Anolis sagrei: one gene and its partner. The protein of the gene in region 2 purifies or fractionates together with the protein of the main gene of each other region. This does not show direct contact. Links are inferred from orthologs where the notes say so. Each region holds a gene or a part of one and is shown on either strand. Other genes may lie near its edges.

Evidence for each region.
Region 1: the proteins of PAN2 (region 2) and PAN3 purify together in Homo sapiens (co-immunoprecipitation; 5 studies listed by BioGRID and IntAct, with this or other methods). This does not show direct contact. The link is inferred for Anolis sagrei from reciprocal best matches to the Homo sapiens genes PAN2 and PAN3.

The regions. Positions count from the first base shown.
Region 1 is NC_090023.1:31,522,461-31,534,879, reverse strand, and holds the start of PAN3 (PAN2-PAN3 deadenylation complex subunit PAN3), read right to left. Parts: upstream 5,012-12,419; 5' UTR 4,679-5,011; coding exon 4,207-4,678; intron 1-4,206. UniProt on the Homo sapiens protein: Regulatory subunit of the poly(A)-nuclease (PAN) deadenylation complex, one of two cytoplasmic mRNA deadenylases involved in general and miRNA-mediated mRNA turnover.
Region 2 is NC_090022.1:138,614,833-138,626,619, forward strand, and holds the start of PAN2 (PAN2-PAN3 deadenylation complex catalytic subunit PAN2), read right to left. Parts: upstream 5,514-11,787; 5' UTR 5,386-5,513; intron 1-5,385. UniProt on the Homo sapiens protein: Catalytic subunit of the poly(A)-nuclease (PAN) deadenylation complex, one of two cytoplasmic mRNA deadenylases involved in general and miRNA-mediated mRNA turnover.

The DNA of each region.
Region 1 (12,419 bases), on a different chromosome or scaffold from region 2:
GCTTAGTTTTCAAGATCTAGTGTGTTTAGGGCACTCAAGTCTGTAAACAATCCCTACAGGGATCTCAAACTGCACATGGTGGTCTAAATTCTATCGCTAATTCCAAACACAGAAGTCCCACTTAATGAATAGTAGCAGTCAACATATATAAGTTCCATCTGCTCAAAAGGTCTACCTCAGTTAGATTCAAGGCTATATAGGTAGTTTAATTTTTAGAACTGTAATTGGAAGCTGGCATGACAAGTTGTCAAAACACACTTGAAAATATCTCTAACAAGTTTTGCCAGTCCCCCTTTTCACACAGTGCTGACAGATCAGCTGTCTCTATCAAAAAGAGTGAGGTGTTACTTTACTACTTCTGGAACATACAGCTAGATGCTTTCTTGATTCTTTGAGGGAAGCCAAGTCAAGTTTTTTCTACGTAGTGTCTCAAGTGAGTATGGTCCCACTTAGTTACAAAGCAATCAGCATTGTATGAATGTATGCCCTAATTGTGGATTTTGAATTCACAACAAAAATGAAACAATGACCAGCTGAGGTTACAAAATAATAACCATGGACTACTCTTGTGCCTACACAATAAAGGGATTTGTGAATCAACTACTAACCCTATGTTGCTGTTGTTGGCTTTCAAGTTTCCAATTTATGGCAACATTATCATTGGATTTAAAGTTTTCTACCATGGTCTTCCTCTAAGACTGACAGAGCATGACTTACCCAAGGTCACCCAACAGGTTCTCATGTCTGAGTGGGTCACCTCCAGAGTCACAATCCAACAAATCACTAAGCCATGCTGTCTCTCGTTAACCCTATGTGTGTTGTGCCTCCAAGGTACACACTGGCTTAACACAAGTCTACGAATTTTGTAGATTTTTCTTAATACTTTTGTATTCCTCTGAGATGTAGCCTCCAGTATTCATTTGCCATCTACAGACTAATCGGGGCTAACTTTTTTCAGCTGGACCCTTAAGGGTATTCAGAGACTCATCCCTAAACCCATAGGAATCTTTTCAATTGTCAGAAAATATTGCCATCCGTATTTTTCACCAAAGAGGCACAGGCAGACATCCTTAGTCCCAGCCGCCTCATAAGGGAAAAGCTGTCACCACACCCCCTTTCCCATATTGTGAAAACAGAGAATCCACCACCTTTGTTTCCACCTGACTGTGTAGGTGTGCCTTGAAGTTACATGTTGACTTATTGAAACCCCATGAACCTTTTAAAGGTTTCTTGGTCCTTTTACCAATTTATTCTATAAAGCATAGCCTCCAGTATTTATCTTCCATTTCCCATCTACGGACTAACCAGGGCTGACCCTGTTTAGCTTCCAAGTCCAGACTGGACCTGGTGTATTCCTTAACCCTATAGGAATCTTTAAATTGTCAGAAAACATTATCACCCATCTTTTACACTGACATCCTCAGAAAGAAAGAAAAAGCCATTGCCACACCCCTTTTCCACCTATTCTTAAAGCAGAGCACCCATCTCCTTCATCTCCATTTGAACTGCCAGGCCATGAGAAGGAGCAGAACAAACAGCAACAATACAGCCTTATCTTACCTTTCTCAACTTATCCCTCCACAAAAATTGCATGTGCCAACTCACTCTGAGGGACCGGGGAGCAAAAACACTGTCAAACCGACATTGAAGAGAGTGGCTTCTTTAAGACCCAGATGGTGATTACACAAACCACAGAGCACTGCTACACACTTTGAGGGCTTTCCTTCTTTCATGCACTTTTGTGGGAGTTTGCTGTTCAACTGCTGCCACAGTTTGAAGCAAACTTCAAACTGCATTAAGTTGTCAAGTGTAGCATGAATCCTTGCTTGCCACCCACCATCCCTTTACCTTTTGGGTGCATCCCAAACGCCGCTGATAGCCTTGTTGCCCTTGAAGCAGTGGTTCTCAACCTGTCAGCCCCCACGTGATTTAGCCTATAACTCCCAGAAATCACAACCAGTTTACCAGCTGTTGGGATTTCTGGGAGTTGAAGGCCAAAACATCTGGGACCCACAGGTTGAGAACCACTGCCTTGGAGGGTCTGGAGCCCAGAACTAGAACAGTGGAGACTCAAGACCGCTTTCCCCACATTCACCTAAAGCAGTGGTTCTCAACCTGTGGGTCCTTAGATGTTTTGGCCTTCAACTTCCAGAAATTCTAACAGCTGGTAAAATGGTTGGGATTTTTGAGAGTAGTAGTCCAAAATATCTGGGGACAAACAGGTTGAGTACATCTGGTCATCAACCGTAATAGTTTACTTATTTACTTACTCAGGTTGAGAACCACTGACCTAGAGAAACCTGGGGTCCAGAGAAACATAGGATTGGAGGAATCATAGAGTTGGAAGAGACCACAAGGAGCCTCCAGACCATGCAGGAACACACATCAAAACAACCCCCACAGATGGCTAGCCAATCTCAGCTTTAAAACCTGCAGAGGAGACTCCTCCACACTCTGGGCAAGCATATTTCACTGCCAAAGAGTTCTTATCACCCGGAAGTAATGTTTAGGTGTGATCTCCTTTCCAGCAATTCGAATTCATTGCTCCCTGCCTTAGTCTCCAGAGCAGTAGGAAACTAACTCAATGTGTATCATCAAAGGCTTTTATGACTGGAATCACTGGGTTGCTGGGAATTTTCTGGGCTGTGTGGCCATGTTCCAGAAGCATTCCTCCTAAAGTTTCACCTGCATCTATGGAAGGCGTCCTCAGAGGTTGTAAGGTCTGTGGGAAACTAGGAAAATGGAGTTTATATATCTGTGGAATATCCAGGGTGGGGGAAAGAACTCTTGTCTGTTTGGGGCAGGTGTGAATGTTGCAACTGGCCACCTTGATTAGCATTTAATGGCCTTGCAGTTCCAAGGTCTGACTGATTCCTGCCTGGGGGAATCCTTTGTTGGAAGGTGATTAGCTGGCCCTGATTGTGTCTTGTCTGGAATTCCCCTGTTTTTAAGTGTTGTTCTTTATTTCACATTTTGATTTTATAGTTTTTTTTAATACTGGTAGCCAGATTTTGTTCATTTTCATGGTTTCCTCCTTTCTGTTGAAATTGTCCACATGCTTCTGGATTTCAGCGGCTTTTCTGTGTAGTCTGACACGGTGGTTGTTAGAGTGGTCCAGCATTGTTTGTGTTCTCAAACAATATGCTGGGTCCAAGTTGGTTCAACACCTCCCAAGAAAGTATTCCCCCAGGCAGGAAGCAGCCAGGCTTTGAAATTGCAAGGGCATTAAATGCTAACCAAGGTGGCAAACTGTAACATTCATACCTACTTTTAATATATGTGTGTTATAGCGACAAATATTATGCTTAAATTTTGTTCGTTAATCTTATGGCTAAGTTGTTTTTACTCTGTATGTTTTGAGATGTTACTTGGGAACCGCTCTGAGTCCCCTCGGGGAGATGGAGCGGTATATGAATAAAGTTGTATTGTTATTATTATTACCTCAAACAGACAATAGTTCTTTTTCCCACCTTGGACATTCCACAGATATATAAACCAATAGACTTCACAACCTCTGAAGATGTTTGCCATAGATGCAGGTGAAACGTCAGGAGAGAATGCTTCTGGAACATGGCCATACAGCCTGGAAAACTCACAGCAAACCAAAAACTCGAGGTGACATCTCTCAACCATTTAAAGCAGGCATGGACCAACTTCAGTCCTCTCTCTCCGGGAGCCCCCGGTGGCACAGTGGGTTAAACCCCTGTGCCGGCAGGACTGAAGACCAACAGGTCGCAGGTTCGAATCCGGGGAGAGGCAGATGAGCTCTCAGCTCCTGCTCCTCATGCGAGGACATGAGAGAAGCCTCCCACAAGGATGATAAAAACGTCAAATCATCCAGGTGTCCCCTGGGCAATGTCCTTGCAGACGGCCAATTCTCTCACACCAGAAACAACTTGCTCCTGACACGACAAAAAAAAAAAGGTCCTCTCTCCAGGTGTTGTGGACTTCAACTTCCACCAATCTTAACAGCCTCGAAGGGGCTTGAGGCTGTTAGGAATGGTGGGAGCTGAAGTTTAAAACACCTGGAGGGAAGGCCGAAGTTGGCCCATGCCTGCTTTAAACACAGGTAACACATCCCCTCTCGGCCTTCTTTTCTCCAAGCTCGCCTCCAAACCCCAAGGGCCATGCAGGTGGTAGACACAACCAAAGCAGCCCCGACAGATGGCCTCGCCTGAAAGCCCTAGGCCGCATACTGGCACTCACTGGCCAGCCGAGGTCCGTCCATGCTCGCTCCTCCCCCGGCGCCGCTTCCTGCTGCTGCTGCTCCTGCTGCTGCGGCCAAGTCGGGGCCCTTCTTGGGGCCTGCCGCCAGCGAGGCCCCGTGCGGGCCTGGGTACCCCCCGCTGTGCCCCGGCGAGGCGGCCACGGGTCCCGGCCCCAGCCCCAGCGGGAGCCCCCCCAGCGCCACGGCGGGCGGGAGAGGCGGCGGGGGCGGGCCCGGGCAGGCGGCCGAGGCGGCGCCGCCGGGCTCCTCGTGCAGGAACTGGCACTCCTCGCCGTAGAAGCACGTCTTGTCCTTGGCGTAGTAGCGGCAGAACTTGAGCTTCAGGCCGCCGGGGAGGCCTCCCGCGCCCGCTGCCACTGCGGGGAGGCCCAAGCCCGGCCCCGGAGCCAGAGCAGGCCCGCCCGCCGCCGCCGCCGCCGGGGAGGAACAGGGCAGCCCCGCGCTGTTCATGGCGCCGACGCTACAGCGCCATGAACAGCCGGGCCGCCTCAGGAGGCCCCGCCGTGGCCGGACGAGGAACCATGAGGGAAAGAGGAGGAGGAGGAGGAGGGAAGGCCGCTGCCGCCGCCTCCTCCGCCGCCACTGTCAAGGCCCAAGGCTGGGCAGCTCAAGCGGAGGGCTTCGCTCACGCGGAGAAAGGCCCGAAGGATGTCGCTGAGGGGGAAACGGAGCTGGGCCTCGAATGGTCCCTGTTGCGGTGGCGGCAGCGACGGCGGCGGCGGGGTTGTTTATGCCATTTTCCTCTTCCTGAGCTGCCGCCTCAGCGCGCCTGCGCCACAGCCAGAGCGGGGGCCGATGGGTAATCCGGGCCTGGAGCAGGAAAAGGCGTCCAAAGAGGCCTGGCCCTCAGAGAGAGAGAGAGAAAGAGAGCCTTTCCAGGCAGGCCCCCTATATCCTAGATTCTGATCCCAGGTTTTCTGTTTATCCCAATTATCTGGGGCTCCTTCCACACAGCTGAGTAAAATCCCACACTGGAATATATGACAGTTCAAAACAGATTTTCTGAGATTGTCTGCCTTGATATTCAGGGTTATATGGCTGTGCAGACTCCTATACCTAAAGGTAAAGGTTGTGTCCGACTCTGGGGGTTGGTGCTCATCTCCATTTCGAAGCCAAAGAGCCGGCGTTGTCCGTAGACACCTCCAAGGTCATGTGGCCAGCATGACTGCATGGAGCGCCCGTTATCTTCCCACCAGAGCGGTACCTATTGATCTACTCATATTTGCATGTTTTCAAACTGCTAGGTTGGCAGAAGCTGAGGCTAACAAGGGGAGCTCCAAGGTCATTTACCCGGCTCTCGCTTAGGGTCAACCTAAGTCTGTAACAACTTGAAAGCACACAACAACAACAATCCTATCTCATCAGCCAAAAACAGGCCCACACTTCCCATTGAAATACTTGTTGTTGTTGTTGTTCATTCGTTCAGTCGTCTCCGACTCTTCGTGACCTCATGGACCAGCCCACGCCAGAGCTCCCTGTCGGCCGTCACCACCCCCAGCTCCCTCAAGGTCAGTCCAGTCACTTCAAGGATGCCATCCATCCATCTTGCCCTTGGTCGGCCCCTCTTCCTTTTGCCTTCCACTTTCCCCAGCATAATTGTCTTCTCTAGGCTTTGCTGTCTCCTCATGATGTGGCCAAAGTACTTCAACTTTGTCTCTAGTATCTTTCCCTCCAATGAGCAGTCGGGCTTTATTTCCTGGAGGATGGACTGGTTGGATCTTCTCGCAGTCCAAGGCACTCTCAGAACTTTCCTCCAACACCACAGCTCAAAAGCATCTATCTTCCTTCGCTCAGCCTTCCCTAAGGTCCAGCTCTCACATCCGTAGGTTACTACAGGGAATACCATGGCTTTGACTAGGCGGATCTTTGTTGCCAGTCTGATGTCTCTACTCTTTACTATTTTATCGAGACTGGACATTGCTTTACTATTTTATCGAGACTGGACAAAAACCACTTTAAAAATACAATAATTAAAATGAAGAACAATTTTAACAAATATAAATTTATTAGTATATATTGAAATACTAATAAATTTATATTTGTTAAAATTGTTCTTCATTTTAATTATTGTATTTTTAAAGTGGTTTTTGCACTACAAATAAGATATGTGCAGTGTGCATAAGAATTCATTCATGTTTTTTTTTCCAATTATAATCCAGCCCTCCAACAGTTTGAGGGACTGTGACCTGGCCCTCTGTTGAAAAAGTTTGTGGACCCCTGCTTTAGGATATAGTACAATATACAGGGTGAGGCAGCATAACTTCCTTTTTTAAAATGCACACCATTCAGTCAGTTGAAGACGTAACAGAGCACTAGTGGTCTCATTTGAGAGGCAGGAGTATAAAGTTTTGTCCTGACACAGTTCAGTCGCCATCATGCGCTGGAACAGTGAGGAGCGTGCTTTTGCCGTTGAGGCCTATTTTTGAACGGATTTGGAGTGGCCAGCCTGCTCTCCAGATATGGCTCCTTGTGATTTTTTCTATGGAGTTTTTTGAAATCCCGTGTTTATGTGAACCGTCCAAGGACTCTACAAGATTTGAAGACCAACATCCAGGAAGAAATTGCCAACATAACGCCTGCTATGCTGGGAAGAGTCATGACAAACGCCAGAAATCGGTTTACTCAGTGTATGGAGAATGGGGGACGTCACCTACCTAATTTGATCTTCAAAACTACATAAAACAAAACTTTAGGTATGCGCCTACATTATAAAAAAAATTAAATAAAATAATTCTGATTCATACAATGGGTTTTATTAAGTTTTGAAAAAAGGAAGTTATGCTGCCTCACCCTGTATTACATAATACAAATAGTATAATATACTGGTCGTGTATTATATATATTGTGGTATAATAGTATAGTACAATATTTTTTTTGTCGTGTCAGGAGCGACTTGAGAAACTGCAAGTCACTTCTAGAGTGAAAGAATTGGCCATCTGCAAGGATGTTGCCCAGGTGACACCCGGATGTTTTGATGTTTTACCATCCTTGTGGGAGGCTTCCCTCATGTTCCCGCATGAAGAGCTGGAGCTGATAGAGGGAGCTCATTCGTGCTCTCCCTGGATTCGAACCTGCGACCCGTCGGTCTTCAGTCCTGCCAGCACAGGGGTTTAACCCACTGTGCCACCGGGGGCTCATACAATATAATAATTGTATATTATATATTACATGTAATATTACTGATAATATTGCAGTATAGTGGAGCCCCCAGTGGTGGTTCAAATCTGAACCAAAAGGTCAGTGGTTCAAATCTGAGGAGTGGGGTGAGCTCCTGCTTTTAGCCCCAGTTTCTGCCAACCTAGCAGTTTTAAAATATGCAAATTTTATATAAAACATTTATATTCTGCCCTTTTCACCCAGAAGGGAACTCAGGGCAGAGCACCACATATATACAGCAAAAATTCAATGCCAGAACATAAAATAAACTATAAATATACATACACACTTAAATCAGTTATCTCCACTTTAAAATCAATTGTTTAACACCATCTCAGATCAGCCATACCATATCCAGCCAGCACGGAAAGTTTCCCATTGTTGCCTTATTACACTGTCCCAAAGGCTTGGTCCCACAGCTGAGTTTTACCATCTTAAGGTAACAGCAATCAATGCAGTCATGCCGACCGCATGACTTCAGAGGCATCTACTGACAATGCTGGCTGTTTCATTTAGAAATGGAGATGAGCACCACCTCCCAGAGTCGGACATTATTAGACTTAATGTCAGGGGGAAACCCTGTACAATATTATAATGTTTATTCACTCAATCGCGTCCGACTCCTTGTGACCTCATGGAACAACACATCAGAGCTCCCTGTCAGCCGTCGCCACCCCCAGCTCCTTCAAGGTCAAGCCAGTTCACTTCAAAGATAACATCCATCTATCTTGCTCTTGGTCGGCCCTTCTTCCTTTTTCCTTCAATTTTCCCCAGCATCATTCTCTTCTCCAAGCTTTCCTGTCTTCTCATTATGTGGTCAAAGTACTTCATCTTTGCTCCTAATATCCTTCCCTCCAGTGAGCAGTTGGGCTTTCTTTCCTGGAATATGAACTGGTTTGATTTTCTCATTGTCCAAGACGTATCAAGGGTTAGTTTGTTTACTATGGAGAATACTCATGGCTTCTCATATCTGGACTTTAAACAACTGCATCTGTTACAACATGAGTTTATGGGTGTTTAGTTGGAATTAAAGCTTATTGAATTCAGTAGCACTTATTCCCAGATAAGGGATTAAACCACACAATCCTATAGTCAAATACTAAACTTGATAATGGGTAGTGGGACTGGATAATTGGACATATAATTGCAGCCTCATTATATTGTCCTGTGGTTTTGAGGTAGGTTTTTGTGTGTGGTCAGTATCAAAGAAAAAATGACTAAAATGGGATGAAAATTTTTTTTATATACTGTATATACTCGAGTATAACCCTAGTTTTTCAGCCCTTTTTTAGGCTGAAAAAAACCCTCTTGGATTATACTCAGGTGAGGGTCCTGGCAGGTTGGCATGAGGCTGAAAGAAGGGCTTTTTTCAGCCCCACGCCTTTCTGCCAGGACCCTCACTTTTCCACACAGCAACCTAGCTCTCCTTCCATTCCTCCTCTCTCGCGCAGCTCACACCTTCCTCTCCTCCTCTCTGCCTCCAGTTTTCCTCACTTTTCCTTATTCATACACACACAGCATTTTCCACAACATGTATAGTTAAAATAAACTATGGTAATTATTGGAAGGATACGTAAACACATTTACATCGAAGAAGGTTAGAATAAGGATTTAATCAGATAAGGCAGTCTTATCTTAAATTACAGTTTTATTTAAATATTCAAAAACATTTAACCTACTGATGCATCAATTAATATAATTTTATTGGTATCTATTTTTATTTTGAAATTTACCAGTAGCTGCTGCATTTCCCAGCCTCAGCTTATACTCGAGTCAATACATTTTCCCAGTTTTTTGTGGTAAAATTAGGTGCCTCAGCTCACATTCGAGTCAGCATATACTCGAGTATATACAGTATTTGGTTATGCTAATGCATATGTATGTATCTTTATGAGTGGCATGAAGAATCAGCACACAGCACCAAAAATGGCAGGTAAGAGCAAATCCTCAAAAGATGCAGAATCCATTGTGTGTTTTGCATGTTGGATTTATTTTTTTAATGAATACCTGTATTTGCACTATGTCCATAATGAAATATCTTAGAGATGTGTCCCAGGTCTAAACATGAAATTCATTTATGTTTCATACACACCTTGCACACATAGCCTGAAGGAAATGTTATACAATTGTTTATGTTGAAGACAATAGTTTTGTACAGATCTATCAGAAAACAAATGTGTATCTTAGCAATGTGTGCAGACAGTTTTAGATTGCTTGTCTTTTAAGTCGCTTCCTGACTATCAACTCTGTGTGTCATGAACTCCAACTCTCCCTTGGGAATGGCTGCATTCTCTTGAAATGGTACTCACATATTAACTAGATATTCTTATAGGTGCACAATATCCTCATTGCTCCTAATAATGACATTTGCATTCTGTATTCCTTCCCGAAACCAAATCACTTTGCATATCTATCAGCACATACCACAGAGTGGCAGGCTGCTTCCATCTAAGCTCCAGTACATGTAATGCTATCAGAGTTATTTATTGGAAACATTTTTTCTCTCTCTGAAGTTTGACTTTTTTTTTACTTTTAAAAATCTGCACTTTTTTCAAAAGGTTTGATTGAAAACAATGATTCATTATTCCTAAGATTACTATGATGAAACAATAAATTTAGGAGAACAGCTTCATCTACAGTGTGCCATTAATGGGACTTGCATTTTGGTGAAGCACTACTACTCTGACAGAGAGGGTAAGGAATTTGTAAAATTACAACTCCCATGATTCCAAAGCATTGGGCCATGGCACTTTGCACCAACATTGCAAAGCACACAAAAAGAATTGACTTTACAGTTTTTCTCAATACTGGAAGGCAAGGAGCCAGTTTGTGTGTGTGTGTGTGTGTGTGTCAGGAGTGACTTGAGAAACTGCAAGTCGCTTCTGGTGTGAGAATTGGCCATCTGAGTGAGAGAAATCTACTCATAGGAAGGGAAATTAACTCCTGAAAGAGTTATCATGGGAAAAGGAGCCTCAGCTGAAGCTTTCTCGCCAATCCTGGTTTCCACAACAAGCCAAGTTTTTCAAAATCCAATGATCACAGGGACAAAAAATGAGAAATTTTCTGAACCGGGGCACAGGCAGCAAAACAAACACCACAGGGGTGTTAATCCTTCCTTATGCTAACCAAAGCTAATTTGCATATATATATTTGACTGGAGCTACACTTAAAAATGTACCTGCTCTGGTTTATATACAAATTCACCATAAGAACAAACTTACAGAATCTATTATGTTCTTACCTTGGGAACTGCCTCCCTTTTTTTGCCCCACTCCTCTCCCACTGGAAAGTGAATAGTCCCCAGAAAAAAAATCACTGGCTCACACTCATTCCACACACGAATGCATATAGCTGGTTTTCAAAACTAGAATTTCCAGCTTCTAGCTGGTTTGGCCTTTGGGTCACTGTGTGTTTCTTGTAGGGTTTCAGAGAAGAAAATTTCCCTCTGGACATGCCACACTTGCATTGTTGTGGTTGTTATGTGCCTTTAAGTCATTTCTAACTTATGGCAAAGCTAAACAAAATCTTTCACAAGGTTTTCTGGATTTGAGAGTGTGAGTTCCCAGAGCCTAGCAAGGGATTGACTCTGGTCTCCAGAGTTGTAGTTCAGTGCTCAATCCACTACACTACATCCACTCTACCCTTGACTAAAGAAATATGTGTCTTCCATCTGTGTATCTGTGTCTTCCATCTGTACAGATTTGAACCCACCCAGAAAGTGAAGTCTTCACCTTTCTAGAATTACAACATTCAGCTGTTTTACAGCTGTTTCTTAGAAGCCCATATTTATCATCAAAGTTGGTTATTCTAAGAAACAGATAACAGTAAACATTGGGGTCTGAGCTTTCTTGTTTTTCTTTCCTTCCCTTTCTTCGCTGTCATATCCTTTTAAGAATGTATGCCAGAGAGGCTTTTTGTTATCTACACACTGCCTTAGACTCCTTTCTATTTGAAGAATGAAGCTAACACTATAAACAAACAAGCAAAATGAACACCTACACACATACTTAGTTTTATGATCCTAGTATTTAATACACATCACCACTCATTGTAGGAACAGTCAATGAATCTATGTCGGTAGGACAGTGAATTCACACCTAGATTTATTCCAGACTTTAAAGGAGCAAGTCAAGACCCTGAACCTATTTGGAAATAAGGCTCAGTACCTTTTTGTTGTTGTTTATTTAGTCGTTTCCAGCTCTTTGTGACCTCATGGAACAACACGCCAGAGCTTCCTGTCAGCTGTGGCCACTCCCAGCTTCTTCGAGGTCAAGCCAGTCACTTCAAGGATAACCTCCATCCATCTTGCCCTTGCTCAATCCCTCTTCCTTTTTCCTTCCATTCTCTCCTATGTGGCCAGAGTACTTCATCTTTGCCTCTAATATCTCCCCATTCTCTCCTATGTGGCTAGTGTATCTCATCTTTGCCTCCAGTGAACAGCTGGGCATTACTTCCTGGAGTACGGACTTGTTGGATCTTCTCAGGGTCCAAGGCACTCTCAGAATCTTCCTCCAACACCACAGTTCAAAAGTTTCTATTTTCCTTCACTCAGCCTTCCTTATGGTCCAGCTCTCGCATCCATAGGTTATTATGGGGGATACCATTGATTTAACTATGCAGATCATAGTTGCCAGTGTGATGTCTCTACTCTTAATTATTTTATTGAGATTAGTCATTAATCTCCTTCCAAGAAGAAAATGTCTACTGATTTCCTGGCTGCAGTCTACGTCTACAGTAATCTTTGCACCTAGAAATACAAAGTCTGTCACTGCCTCCATGTCTTCTTCTTCTATTTGCCAGTTATCAATCAATCTGGTTGCCATAATCTTGGTTTCTTAAATGTTTAATTGCAACCCAGCTTTTGCACTTTTCTCTTTCACCATGATTAGAAGGCTTCTCAGCTCCTCCTCGCTTTTAGCCATCCAAGTGGTATCATCTGCATATCTAAGGTTGTTAATGTTTCTTCCAGCCTTGGGTTCACCAAGCCCCACATGTTGCATGATACATACAAGTTGAATAGGTAGGGTGAGAGTAT
Region 2 (11,787 bases):
AATTTTATCTCTACATAGTTTATTGCTCCACATTTATCTCCTTCCCACCAGGAAGTATAGTAGTCTCTCAGTTAACTGGAATTCAAGCAACCAGAAACTACCAAAAAAACATCTATGATATAATTAGGATCACCAAAACCTGGTGGGACAAGTCTTGTGTTTGGAATGCAAGAATATAGGGTTATTACCCATTTCTGGAAAACAGAAGAAGAGTGGTTACTCTTTTGTACTGAAAAGTAAATGCTTGGGGTCTTTGCAGCAGACAATTGGAACACTCATCCTCCTAGATACACTGTTGGGCTGCAGCTTTATGTTCCTCATCATTGCCTTTCCTAGTGAAAGGCCACAACTGACTGTTCTACTTTACAGGTGCAAAAAAGGAAGACTCATCTATCAAGTCTTGGAAATTGCTTCCTAAAGTTAGTTTCCAGTAACCACACATCATTTATTTCGTCATCGACAGAACCTATACTGGAAATGTAACCCGCAAAAGAGGAAGAGCAAAATTGCTTTGACCTTCTAAACCTGGAATCCTAAAAACACTACGTAATTTAATCCACAGAATTTTTGCTACCATATGAACATGTGTCAGGACTTGCCAAATCTTTGGCCTATTATATGAATACTAGTCTGAAGTTATACTCCTTTTCTTCTTTGATAAAGAGATAAACCCCAATACTATGCCTTCAGCTAATAGGGTATGTTTAACCTGCAGAAGAGAAGGCTGAGACAAGATAAGATAGCCATATATAAATATGTGAAATTATGTCATAAGGAAGAGGGAGCAGGCTTGCTTATGCTGCCCTGGAGACTAAGGGCCTTTCCACACAGCCATATAACTTATCAGTCTGAACGAATCTCCCCTTATGAACCATCTAGGACAGGGGTCCTCAAACTACGGCCCGCGGGCCACATGTGGCCTGCTGAGGGCATTTATCCGGCCCGTGCGGCCTGCCCTGGCCTCGTACAAAGCCCCTCGCCACTTGCTAGACCCAATCCCCTTGCCTGCTTCACGCCACTCGTCAGGCCTGGCAAGCAAAGAAAGCAGCAACGGGCTTCGCTCGAGGCCAGGCTGCACGGTGCAACTTGCCTTCCTCGTGCTGCCCGTTGTGCGAGCCAGGCAAAGGAGGTGCAGCCTCCCTTGCCAGGCCCGACAAGCAGCGTGAGGCAGGTGAGAAGATTGGGCCTGACAAGCGGCGAGGGGCTTTGTGCGAAGCCAGGCCGCGCGGCGCAACTTATCTGTCTCGCACTGCCCTTCGTGCAAGCTGGGCAAGGGAGGCTACACCACGCGGCCTGTTCTCGCGCAAAGCCCTCAGTGCTTCCATTGCTTGCCAGGCCCGACAGGCAGCGCAAGGCATGTGAGGGGATTGGGCCTGGCAAGCGGCAAAGGGCTTTGCGCGAGGCCAGGCCACGCGGTGCAGCCTCCCTTGCCTGGCTCACACGATGGGCAGCGTGAGGTAGGTAAGTTGCACTGCACGGCCTGGCCTCACACAAAACCCCTTGCCGCTTGCCAAGCCCAATACACTCGCCTGCCTTGCATCGCCCGTCGGGCCTGGCAAGCAATGGAAGCGGTAAGGACCGGGATTGTGGCGCAGCTGGCTGAGTGTCAGCTGCATTAAGATCACTCTGACCAAAAGGTCATGAGTTCGAAGCCAGCCCGGGCTGGAGTGGGTGTCCAGCCATTGTGTAGCCCGTTGTCGACCTTTGCAACCCGAAAGACAGTTGCATCTGTCAAGTAGGAAAATAAGGCACCACCTTGTGTGGGAGGCTAAATTTAACTAATTTATGAGGCCATAAAGAAAAAAGATTCCGGGGAATGTGGAATGCGGAAGAACTTCATTGGTGTCACTGATAGACGACGAAAAGCAGCAGCTCCCCTGGCGGCCAGAAAAAAAGTTAAATAGCCTTGGTGTATTTGTGTGTTAAACGTTGTTTGTCAAAACTGGCATTGAATGGTTGCCATATATGTGTTGACTGTAATCCGCCCTGAGTCCCCTGCGGGGTGAGAAGGGCGGAATATAAGAACTGTAAATAAATAAATAAATAAATAAATAAGGGCTTCGCTAAATTTAGGCCAGGCCATGCAGTGCAATTTATCTGCTTCGCACTGCCCCTCATGCGAGAGGCAAGGGAGGCAACACCACACGGCCTGTTCTCACGCAAAGCCCTCACTGCTTCCATTGCTTGCCAGGCCCGACGGGCACCGCGAGGCAGGTGAGGGGATTGGGCCTGGCAAGGGACTTTGCACAACACCAGGCTGCGCGCACCACAGCAGCACCCGGCTCGCATGAGGGGCAGTGCGAGGCAGGTAAGTTGCACCGTGCAGCCTGGCCTCGTGCAAAGATCTTTTAAACTTTGAAATGAAATATAATTCATGCTTACATATTCCAAAATCCACTTTATAAGGCAGAAAATAGAATTTTTTCCTCATTCTCATTGGAACTATTTTATCTTCAGAAATGCTAAAGCTATATTTTTCTATGTATTCCTATATTGCTTTCAGCAGCCCATCGTTGGGTGTGTGTGCATGTATGTGCCTTCAGGTCTCCTTTTATTTCTGGCGGCCCCATGAATTTAATGTTTTCTTTGAGAGGAAATACTCAAAAATAGTTTTGTCAGTTTCTTTCTCTGAAATATAGCACCTGCTATTCATTTGTGGCTTCCCATCCAAATTCTAACCAGAACTGGCCCTGCTTAGCATTCAAGATCAGAGGCATTTAATCTTTCATTGACTCTGCCAGGTATTATTCTTCTGTACAGTAGTATCTGTTACCCCTGTGACCCAACTTGTACAGGCAGTCCCCAACTTACAAACAAGTTATGTAGGTTTGTTCTCACTGTAAGCTGAGTTTGGTTCAATTTCATTGTTGGAGTTCAGAATGCTCTTGGTTGGCAGGGGAACTATTCATCCCAGCAACTCTCAAATGCTAAAGTCTATTTTCCCCAAGCCTTTCCAGTATTTTCTGTTGGTGATGGGAGTTTGGCAGATAGGCTAATCAGTAAACATATTCATGGATCCCCTGTTGTTATATTAAGACTATTACCTATGCTGTGACATGCTTGAAATCAAAATTTCATTTATTTGTAATGAGAAATAAATATTTCACAATGTATAATTACATATTGTTTTTGTGATTAATCACTATGCTTTATGTTCAGATTGTAACAATAAAAATACATCCTGCATATCAGATATTTACATTACGATTAATAACAATAGCAAAATAAGATATGTGCAGTGTGCATAGGAATTTTGTCATCGTTTTTTTTTTAACTATAGTCCGCCCTCCAATGGTCTGGGGGACAGTAATCTGGTCCGCTTTTTAAAAAGTTTGAGGACCCCTGATCTATGACCTTAAGACCATCTAGGGAGGCCTTGCTCTTGATCCTGCCTTTGTCACAAGCACATCTGGCGGGGACGAGAGATAGGGCCTTCTCAGTGGTGGCCCCTCGACTATGGAACGCCCTCCCTAGGGATATCAGATCGGCCCCCTCCCTATTAACATTTTGGAAAAAAGTCAAGACGTGGCTTTTTGAGCAAGCGTTTGCAAATGCAGAGTAACTGACATGGAAAATGAAACGACTAGATGATGGACTGGACAATGTTTAAACAAGGAGACGCTAATGATTTTTGTTTTATTGATTTGTTGTGGTTTTATATTACATATTAATGTTTTTAATTGTATTTCTGATATTGTGTGCATCAAATTGTTGCCTGTAAACCACCTTGAGTTGCCTGAGGGCTGAGAAAAGCAGTATACAAATACAGTAAATAAATAAATAACCCAAAATATCAAGGCAGAAAATTCCACAATATCTGCTTTCAACAGGGTTATCTGAGTCCACATTGCCATATATTCCAGTTCAAAGCAGATAATGTAGGATTTTAATCAGCTGTGTGGAAGGAGCCCCATTTCAAATCAAGTATTGTGGGATTTTCTGCCTAGATATTTTGGGTTATATGGCTGTGTGGAAGGGCCCTTAGACTCAGTAGTAATGAGTTCAAATGACTGCTGGAGCTCTCCTGGCATGTACAAATGATGCACCAGGAGAAAGGGGAGGAGAGCTATCTTCCTCTCCTCCTTCTCCTGGTGCATCATTTGTTTGCGCCAGGAGAGACTTGGCAGCCCTCTAATGGAGGCCGGGTAAGTTATTTTGCTTGGGTTTTTTTACACTGTTTTGGGGGTCTTTTGGGGAGGGGGTTGGTATTCTCAGTTTTCCAGGCTAACTTAGCCTGGAAAACCGTGGGAATACTGTCTGGACTACAGTCCAGACACCAGAAGTAATGGGTTTATCCAGCGCCTTCCAAGAAGCTGTGGAATAAATCAAGTAACAAATTAGGGTTTTCCTAGTTTGTGGTGAATTAATCAACTGGACAGCCCCATTTTAATTGTAATAACGCCCACATTAAAGGGGCTATGCCCTACAAAAGTTACAGGTTTGATCAGCACTCCTGATCCAGAGAAAGCAAATGCTATTTTTTCTCTATTTCCCCCAAACCTCAGTTAGTAAAATCACAGGCCAAATTACGACAAAATTATGTGAGTTGTAACTCAAGAAAGTAACCTTTCTCAGCGTTGCCCAGATTAGTCATGGGTTACATCAATGGCATAACCATTTTGGTTTCCTTGACAATTGTTATCCCTCAAGAACATAGCAAGATACTAAATCAAAAGAGTGGCAAAACTGTGTTACTGTTATGAAATGTGCTAAAGAGTGGGGTTGGGCAACTGGAAACTTGGGAGACACATTACTCCCCCCACCCACCCCAGAAAACACGGAAGGCTTTCCCCCATTGCCCTAACTCCCATAAAAAAAGATTTGCTCTCAAATGCTGTGGGACAAAATGAAGTGAGTTATTTCCTTTTTCCAAAACGGCTCAAAAAGGCATAACTCTCAAAATGTAATAGAATTACTCTGCATAGCATTTGAGGGCATTTTTTAAAATGGAGCCGCCAGAGGTGGGTGAAATGCCCCAACATCCTCTAAACCAGTGGTTCTCAGCCTGCGGCTCCCCAGGTTTTGGCCTACAATTCCCAGAAATCCCAGCCAGTTTGCCAGCTGTTAGGATTTCTGGGAGTTGAAAGCCAAAACACCTGGGGACCCACAGGTTGAGAACCACTGCTCTAAACCATTTTGGAAGCATTTCGGAGCAAAGGCCTATGGTTCCCACAAAGGCCTGTCCCTGACCCCGACGAGGGAAGAGGAAGTGAGGTGGCGGGCAACATCCCCGGAACCAGTGGCTCCATCCTTAAAACTGGCGGTTGTTTTGGACCAAAATAGGCCACACGTTCTGGCTCTCAAGAACGCCCATGAAAAACCACTGGGCTCCCGCTCCCCTGCCAACAATCCGCAGGCCATTGTCAGGAAGAAGAGAGGGGTTACCCACAATCCTTTGCTCTTCCGGTTTCCCAGCCGCGACCGCCGCTATGGCAACCCCAGCCCTCTTCGTTCCATCTCCCGCTCCTTCGGCGTAGCTCAGCAACAAGGGGGGCTGATTCCGACCAATCCCTGAGCGCCTTGTGGGAAGGCATCCAATCAGAGCAGACCTTACATTTTACACGAGCGGCGCTACGTGACTAACTGAAGGACGGGATTCTGAAAGGGACAAAAAGCTTGGCGGGTGTTGTTTGTAATGCTTATGAGGTTGAAAGGGGAAGTGAAGCTCGCCGCGTGGCTCGTTTACAAATCACGAAGGAGGGCGGCGGCCTAGTTTGCGCGGCGACCAATCAGCGAGTGCCCTTTCAGCCCCTCGGCCCCCTCTTAGGGTTTCTTCACGGCTTGTTGTTCTCTCCAAACAAGGAACTCGTCCTTTCCCTCCCCGTGAATCAGCGCAGGGCAGCCACCTGGAGGGATGCGCAGCCAGTTTCCTTTTGCGCAACGGGGCCAGAAGGGTATAGCCTAGGGAAGTGTATAAACACCCCTGCCGGTTTGGTTTTGCTGCCTGGCTCCCTGTTCAGAAGATGTCACCTCATGTTCTGTCCCTGTGACAGTTAGCTTTTGAAAAATTTGGCATGTTTTGGAAACAAGGGATTGGTGAAAAGCCTCCACCTTTTCTCCACAATAACAACTCTTTCAGGAATGAATTTCCTTTTCGAGGGGTAGATTTCTCTCGCTTTCTGTTGGCTCACCCTGTTCTTATCTATGAGTCATTTGTAAGTCGGAAGTTTGCAGCCTGTGTACGTTGTCTGAAGCAGTGGCTTGAGCCTTGGATTACAGCTTCGGAAACCAGAGTTTGATTTCCTTCTCTGCCAATGGAAACCTTTCAGTCAGCCCATTGTATGCTAATCAAGGTGGTCAGTTGAAACATTCACACCTAGCTCCAGCAGAAAAGAGTCCTTTGTCCCACCCTGGTCATTCCACAGATATATAAGTCCCCTTTCCCTGGTTCTAACAGACCTCACTACCTCTGAGGATGCTTGCCATAGATGCAGGCGAAACGTTAGGAGAGAATGTCTCTAGGTTAGGGGTCCACAAACTTTTTAAACAGAGGGCCAGGTCACAGTTCCTCAAACTGTTGGAGGGCCGGATTATAATTTGAAAAAAGCATGAATGAACTCCTATGCACAATGCACATATCTTACTTGTAGTGCAAAAAACCCCACTTAAAAACAATACAATAATTAATATGAAGAAAATTTTTAACAAATATAACGTTATTAGTATTTCAATGGGAAGTGTGGGCCTGCTTTTGGCTGATGAGAAAGGATTGTTGTTTTTGTTGTTGTTGTTGTGTTCTTTAAAGTTGTTTCAGACCTAGGTTGACCCTGAGCAAGGGCCGGGTAAATTGCCTTGGAGGGCCATATTCGGCCCCCGGGCCGTAGTTTGAGGACCCCTGATCTAGACCATGGCCATACAGTCCGAAGAAACCTTCAACAACCCAGTGATTCCGGCCATGAAAGCCTTCGACAATACATTGAAACCTTTCAGATTATCCTGGGCAAGTTACACACACAGCCCCAGAAAACCTTGCCTTAGGATTGCCATAAGTCAGAAATGACTTGAAGGCATAGAACAACAATGAAATCATACTTTCCAGATTCTATCATACAATGTTTTAATCGGTTGTCCTTTTCCTTCTCTAATCATTCTAGAAACAATTATCTGTGTCACCTTCTCTCTAGTATGAAGAATATTCCTCGTGGAAGTGAAAAGAAATTCAAGCTTTTACACTTGTGTATTTATCATAGAATCAAAGAGTTGGAAGAGACCTCATGGGCCTTCCAGTCCAACCCTCTGCCAAGAAGCAGGAATATTGCATTCAAATCACCCCTGACAGATGGCCATCCAGCCTCTGCTTAAAAGCTTCCAAAGAAGGAGCTTCCACCACACTCCGGGGCAGTGAGTTCCACTGCTGAACGGCTCTCACAGTCAGGAAGTTCTTCCTCGTGTTCAGATGGAATCTCCCCTCTTGTAGTTTGAAGCCATTATTCCGCGTCCTAGTCTCCAAGGAAGCAGAAAACAAGCTTGCTCCATTGAAACCTTTCAGATTATCCTAGGCAAGTTACACACACAGCCCCAGAAAACCTTGCCTTAGGATTGCCATAAGTCAGAAATGACTTGAAGGCATAGAACAACAATGAAATCATACTTTCCAGATTCTATCATACAATGTTTTAATCGGTTGTCCTTTTCCTTCTCTATTCTAGAAACAATTATCTGTATCACCTCTCTAAAATGAAGAATGTTCCTCGTGGAAGTGAAAAGAAATTCAAGCTTTTACACTTGTGTATTTATAATATTGTTGGTTTCTTTGAGCCTCTTTTAAGAAAGAAAAAGCAGCATATAAATAATAATAAATGAAATAAATATTCAAGTTTTCAAACTATGCAACATGAAAGAGGTCAAGGGCACATTTTGCCATATTTATATGGCTCTTCCCAGACCATTTAAGGCTAAGGAGAAAAAGTGAATGGGAACAAATCCCTGTTTAGGTCTTTTTTCAAAAATAAAAAGGTCTTTACTGGGCCTAAATTGGTCCAAGAACCCCAAAACATAGTGAAAATGCCCTTCACACCCCTATAGCACATTTTGAAACAAAGAAAATTGGTTTTTTACAACCTTGAGGGGACTCTGCCCATTTCTGCTCCAGAAGAAAACCCTTAGGCAGAAATGTTGATAACCCAAGATATAATGTTAGGGATCTGTCCAGAGAAGACTGACCACACACTGGGGGCCCTTCCACACAGCCATATAACCCAAAATATCAAGGTAGAAAATCCCGCATTATCTGTTTTGAACTGGGTTATCTGAGTCCACACTGCCACATATTCCAGTTCAAAGCAGATAATGTGGGGTTTTATTCAGCTGTGTGGAAGGGGCCCAGGAGAGAAATGTAATGCAGCAGCCAGGGAAAGTAGGATGAAGACATATATTTACAGTTATTTTCATATACGTACAAGTGTGCAGACTGTCTTGCAGGCAACAGTTTATCAAGGTCTGTTGAAGTAGCAGATATGTCTTGATGGAATTACCCTAAGAGTGATTTCCAGTTTGTGACATCCCTTACACTATGTAATGTGTAATGATGCAGTCCAGTAGGAATTTTCTACCTGGTGTGCTATACTTAAGCCAACCTATTGTTGTGTTACTGAGTAGTATTTTCCACACCCCAGTTGATCATAAATATGTAAAAATATAGGTTAACATTCAGTGATACAACTTTGTAAACAATGATTACTAAACCTTCAGCCCACATATACCTGAAACTACTAAGACATTTATTTGTGGGTTAGGGGAAAAAAACAAGTGGAGGGAAATCCAAACTTGGTTCTCATTTTGTCCTTTTTTTTTTTTTTTATTAAGTTTTTATTTTATGACATTAAAAAGACACACAAATACGACTGCACATACAAACAGCTAATTACCGACACAACACAGTACAAACAAGGTACAAGTACGAATAAACAAATACGTTAAAAATTGGCCAACCTCAGTTGGCCGGACCTCCTCTCTCCCACTCTAGTAGATCCTCTCTTGGTTTTCGTTTACGGTCTACGTTTGTAAATTAAAGTGTATGTATTTTCTCTGCTGTTTGGTTCTAGTATAGGTTTGTTAAACAGTGTCCTTCTTACTTTAAGAACTTTCGTGCATCATTTCTCTTTATTTCTCGCTCTCGGTTCGTTTTTCTCTCAAGATTCCCAGTTTCTAGTTAAATTTTTTTTATTATTATTATTATCTTGCTCCTTTTCATGATCTGTATTGATTTGTTCTTTAGAATGTTGTTAAGTATAAAAACAGAGGTTTTATCTGGATATTTGCATCGAATCTTTTGGTTTGCGGGGCGATTCACTTAGGAACGACTATGCTCTATATTTAGGTCTATGTATTTACCAACAGTGTATGACAGTTAGGGCTATGGCTGTGGGGGGTGGTGGTGGTATTAACCCATTTATAGTTTTAGCTTTTTCCCCTCCAACCATTCCTCAACCGGTGTCCAGTTTGTCTCTGCTATTGGTATATTTCGTGTAGTTGAAAGAATGTATGATAAATGATCCATGTTCCTTATATCTACTATTTTATTAATCCAATCTGCCTCCAATGGAATTTCCTCTTTTCTCCAAACTTTGGCGAGAAGTATACGAGCCGCCGTGACCAGGTAGACAAATAGCTTATCAGTCCCTTTGTCCCATGTTTTCCCTGTTAAACCCAATAAAAATATCTCTGGATTTAGTGGGATGTTTTTTCTTAATATTTTTTGGCAGTTTTCTTGGATTGTTTTCCAGTAAGCTTTTACTTTCACACAGGTCCACCACATGTGTTTGTAGGTTCCCTCCTCTAACCCGCATTTCCAACATTTATTACACATGTTCTTTGAAAATTTGGCAATCTTGGAGGGCGTTAGATACCACTGGTGTACCATTTTAATCCAGTGTTCTTTGATCTCATAGGCATATGAGTAGTTTGTTTTTACGATCCAGATGGTGTTCCATTCTTCTAGGGATATTGTTCTCCCTATCAATCTTGCCCATTTAACCATATATTCTTTAATTCTCTCCTCCTCTGTAGACCATTCAAGTAGTAGCCCATAAGCTTTGGTGATAAATTTTCTTGGGTTTTCTATTAATCTATCCCAAGCGGATAGGCTTTCCGTGAGACCTATTTGTCTGTCTTTTGCAAAATACTCTTTCAATTGCCAGTATTGGAGCCAAGTGAGGTTGTTATATTTTTCTCTTAACTCTTCTAATGATTTCATTCTTACTTCCTTTCCAACCTTGACAAGGAGGTCTTTATACGTGGGCCATATTCTCCAGCCTATTTCTCTCCTTTGATGAGCCTCCAAGGTGGAGAGCCATAGCGGTGTTTTTGGGTACATTCTCTCCTTGTATTGGTCCCAAACTTTCAGGAGGGCCGCATTTTGTCCTTTAAAGTGTACTGAAGATGATTTTCTTTCCAAATATGAGACTGCACCTATATCTACCAATAAGATTATTTACTGTGCATAATCTGCTTTTCTACTTACATGCCTGTGTGTATGTAAGTATCTACACACATGTACATACACACATTTTTACTTAACTGCAGTGTTTTACTGCATTTCATCCTAGGTAGGTAAATGGAAGGAACCTGCACCAAAATATTTTAGTTTGGAGTGCTTCTTCAAGGTCTCTGCCATTCCACTTCTCTGTATCCCATTTTTTTTCTTCTCCCACTCTTTTCAACTGTCGGTATTTTTTATGAAAATACTAGACTCACACCCCTTCTACACTGTCATATAATCCAGTTCAAAGGAGATCATCAGGATTTTATATAGCAGTGTAGAAGGGGCCTCTATGCATTGACCTGGTCCCCCCTTAATTTTGTCCTTAGTAATCTTTAAAAATAACTCAGGTCCCTTCCACACAGTTATATAAAATCCACATTTAAGTGCATTATATGGCAGTGTGGAGTCAGATAATCCAGTTCAAATCAGATATTGTGAATTATCTGCCTTGATATTCTGGGTTATATGGCTGTTTGGAAGGGCCCCCAGGCCCTTGGGAAGTCAGACTTGGCCACGGTGGTCCACGCTCTTGTTACAACCCGAGTAGATTACGCACTCTACATGGGATTGCCTTTGAAGGTTGCTCGGAAGCTCCAACTACAACCGACGGCAGCCAGGTTGCTCACTGGAGTGGCATACAGAGAGCATACAACCCCTCTCCTAGGCCAGCTCCACTGGTTGCCAATTTGCTACCAAGCACAATTCAAAGTGCTGGCTTTAGCCTATAAAGCCCTGAACAGTTCTGACCCATCTTACCTGTCTGAACTTATCTCCTGCTATAAAATGTAGCGAAGTTTAAGATCAACGGGAGAGGCCCTGCTCTCGATTCCACCATCCTCAAAAATGCATCTGGTGGAGACGAGAGACAGGGCCTTGTCAGTGGTAGCCCCTCGCCTGTGGAACTCTCTATCCAGTGACATTAGATTGGCCCCCTCCCTCTTGTCCTTTAGAATGAAACTCAAAATCTTGTTATGGGACCAAGCATTCAAACAGGAGAGGCAGCAATTTGGAATGAGACCCAATTTGTGTGCAAGACAATGGACTGACCTGCACTGTGATTTCAAACCTGTGTGATTTAAACAATGTTTTAGTAATTTTAAACCATTAATTAATTTTTTTAATTTGTTTTATCATTTATTACTGTTGTTTGCATTAAATGAATGCCTGTTGTGAAGCCGCCTTGAGTCCCCCTCCGGGGGTGAGAAGGACAGGATACAAATATGCTAAATAAACAAACAAACAAATAAATAAATAAAGTAGATTATCTGTTTTGAACTGGCCCTGTAAGGGACCTCACTGTGAAC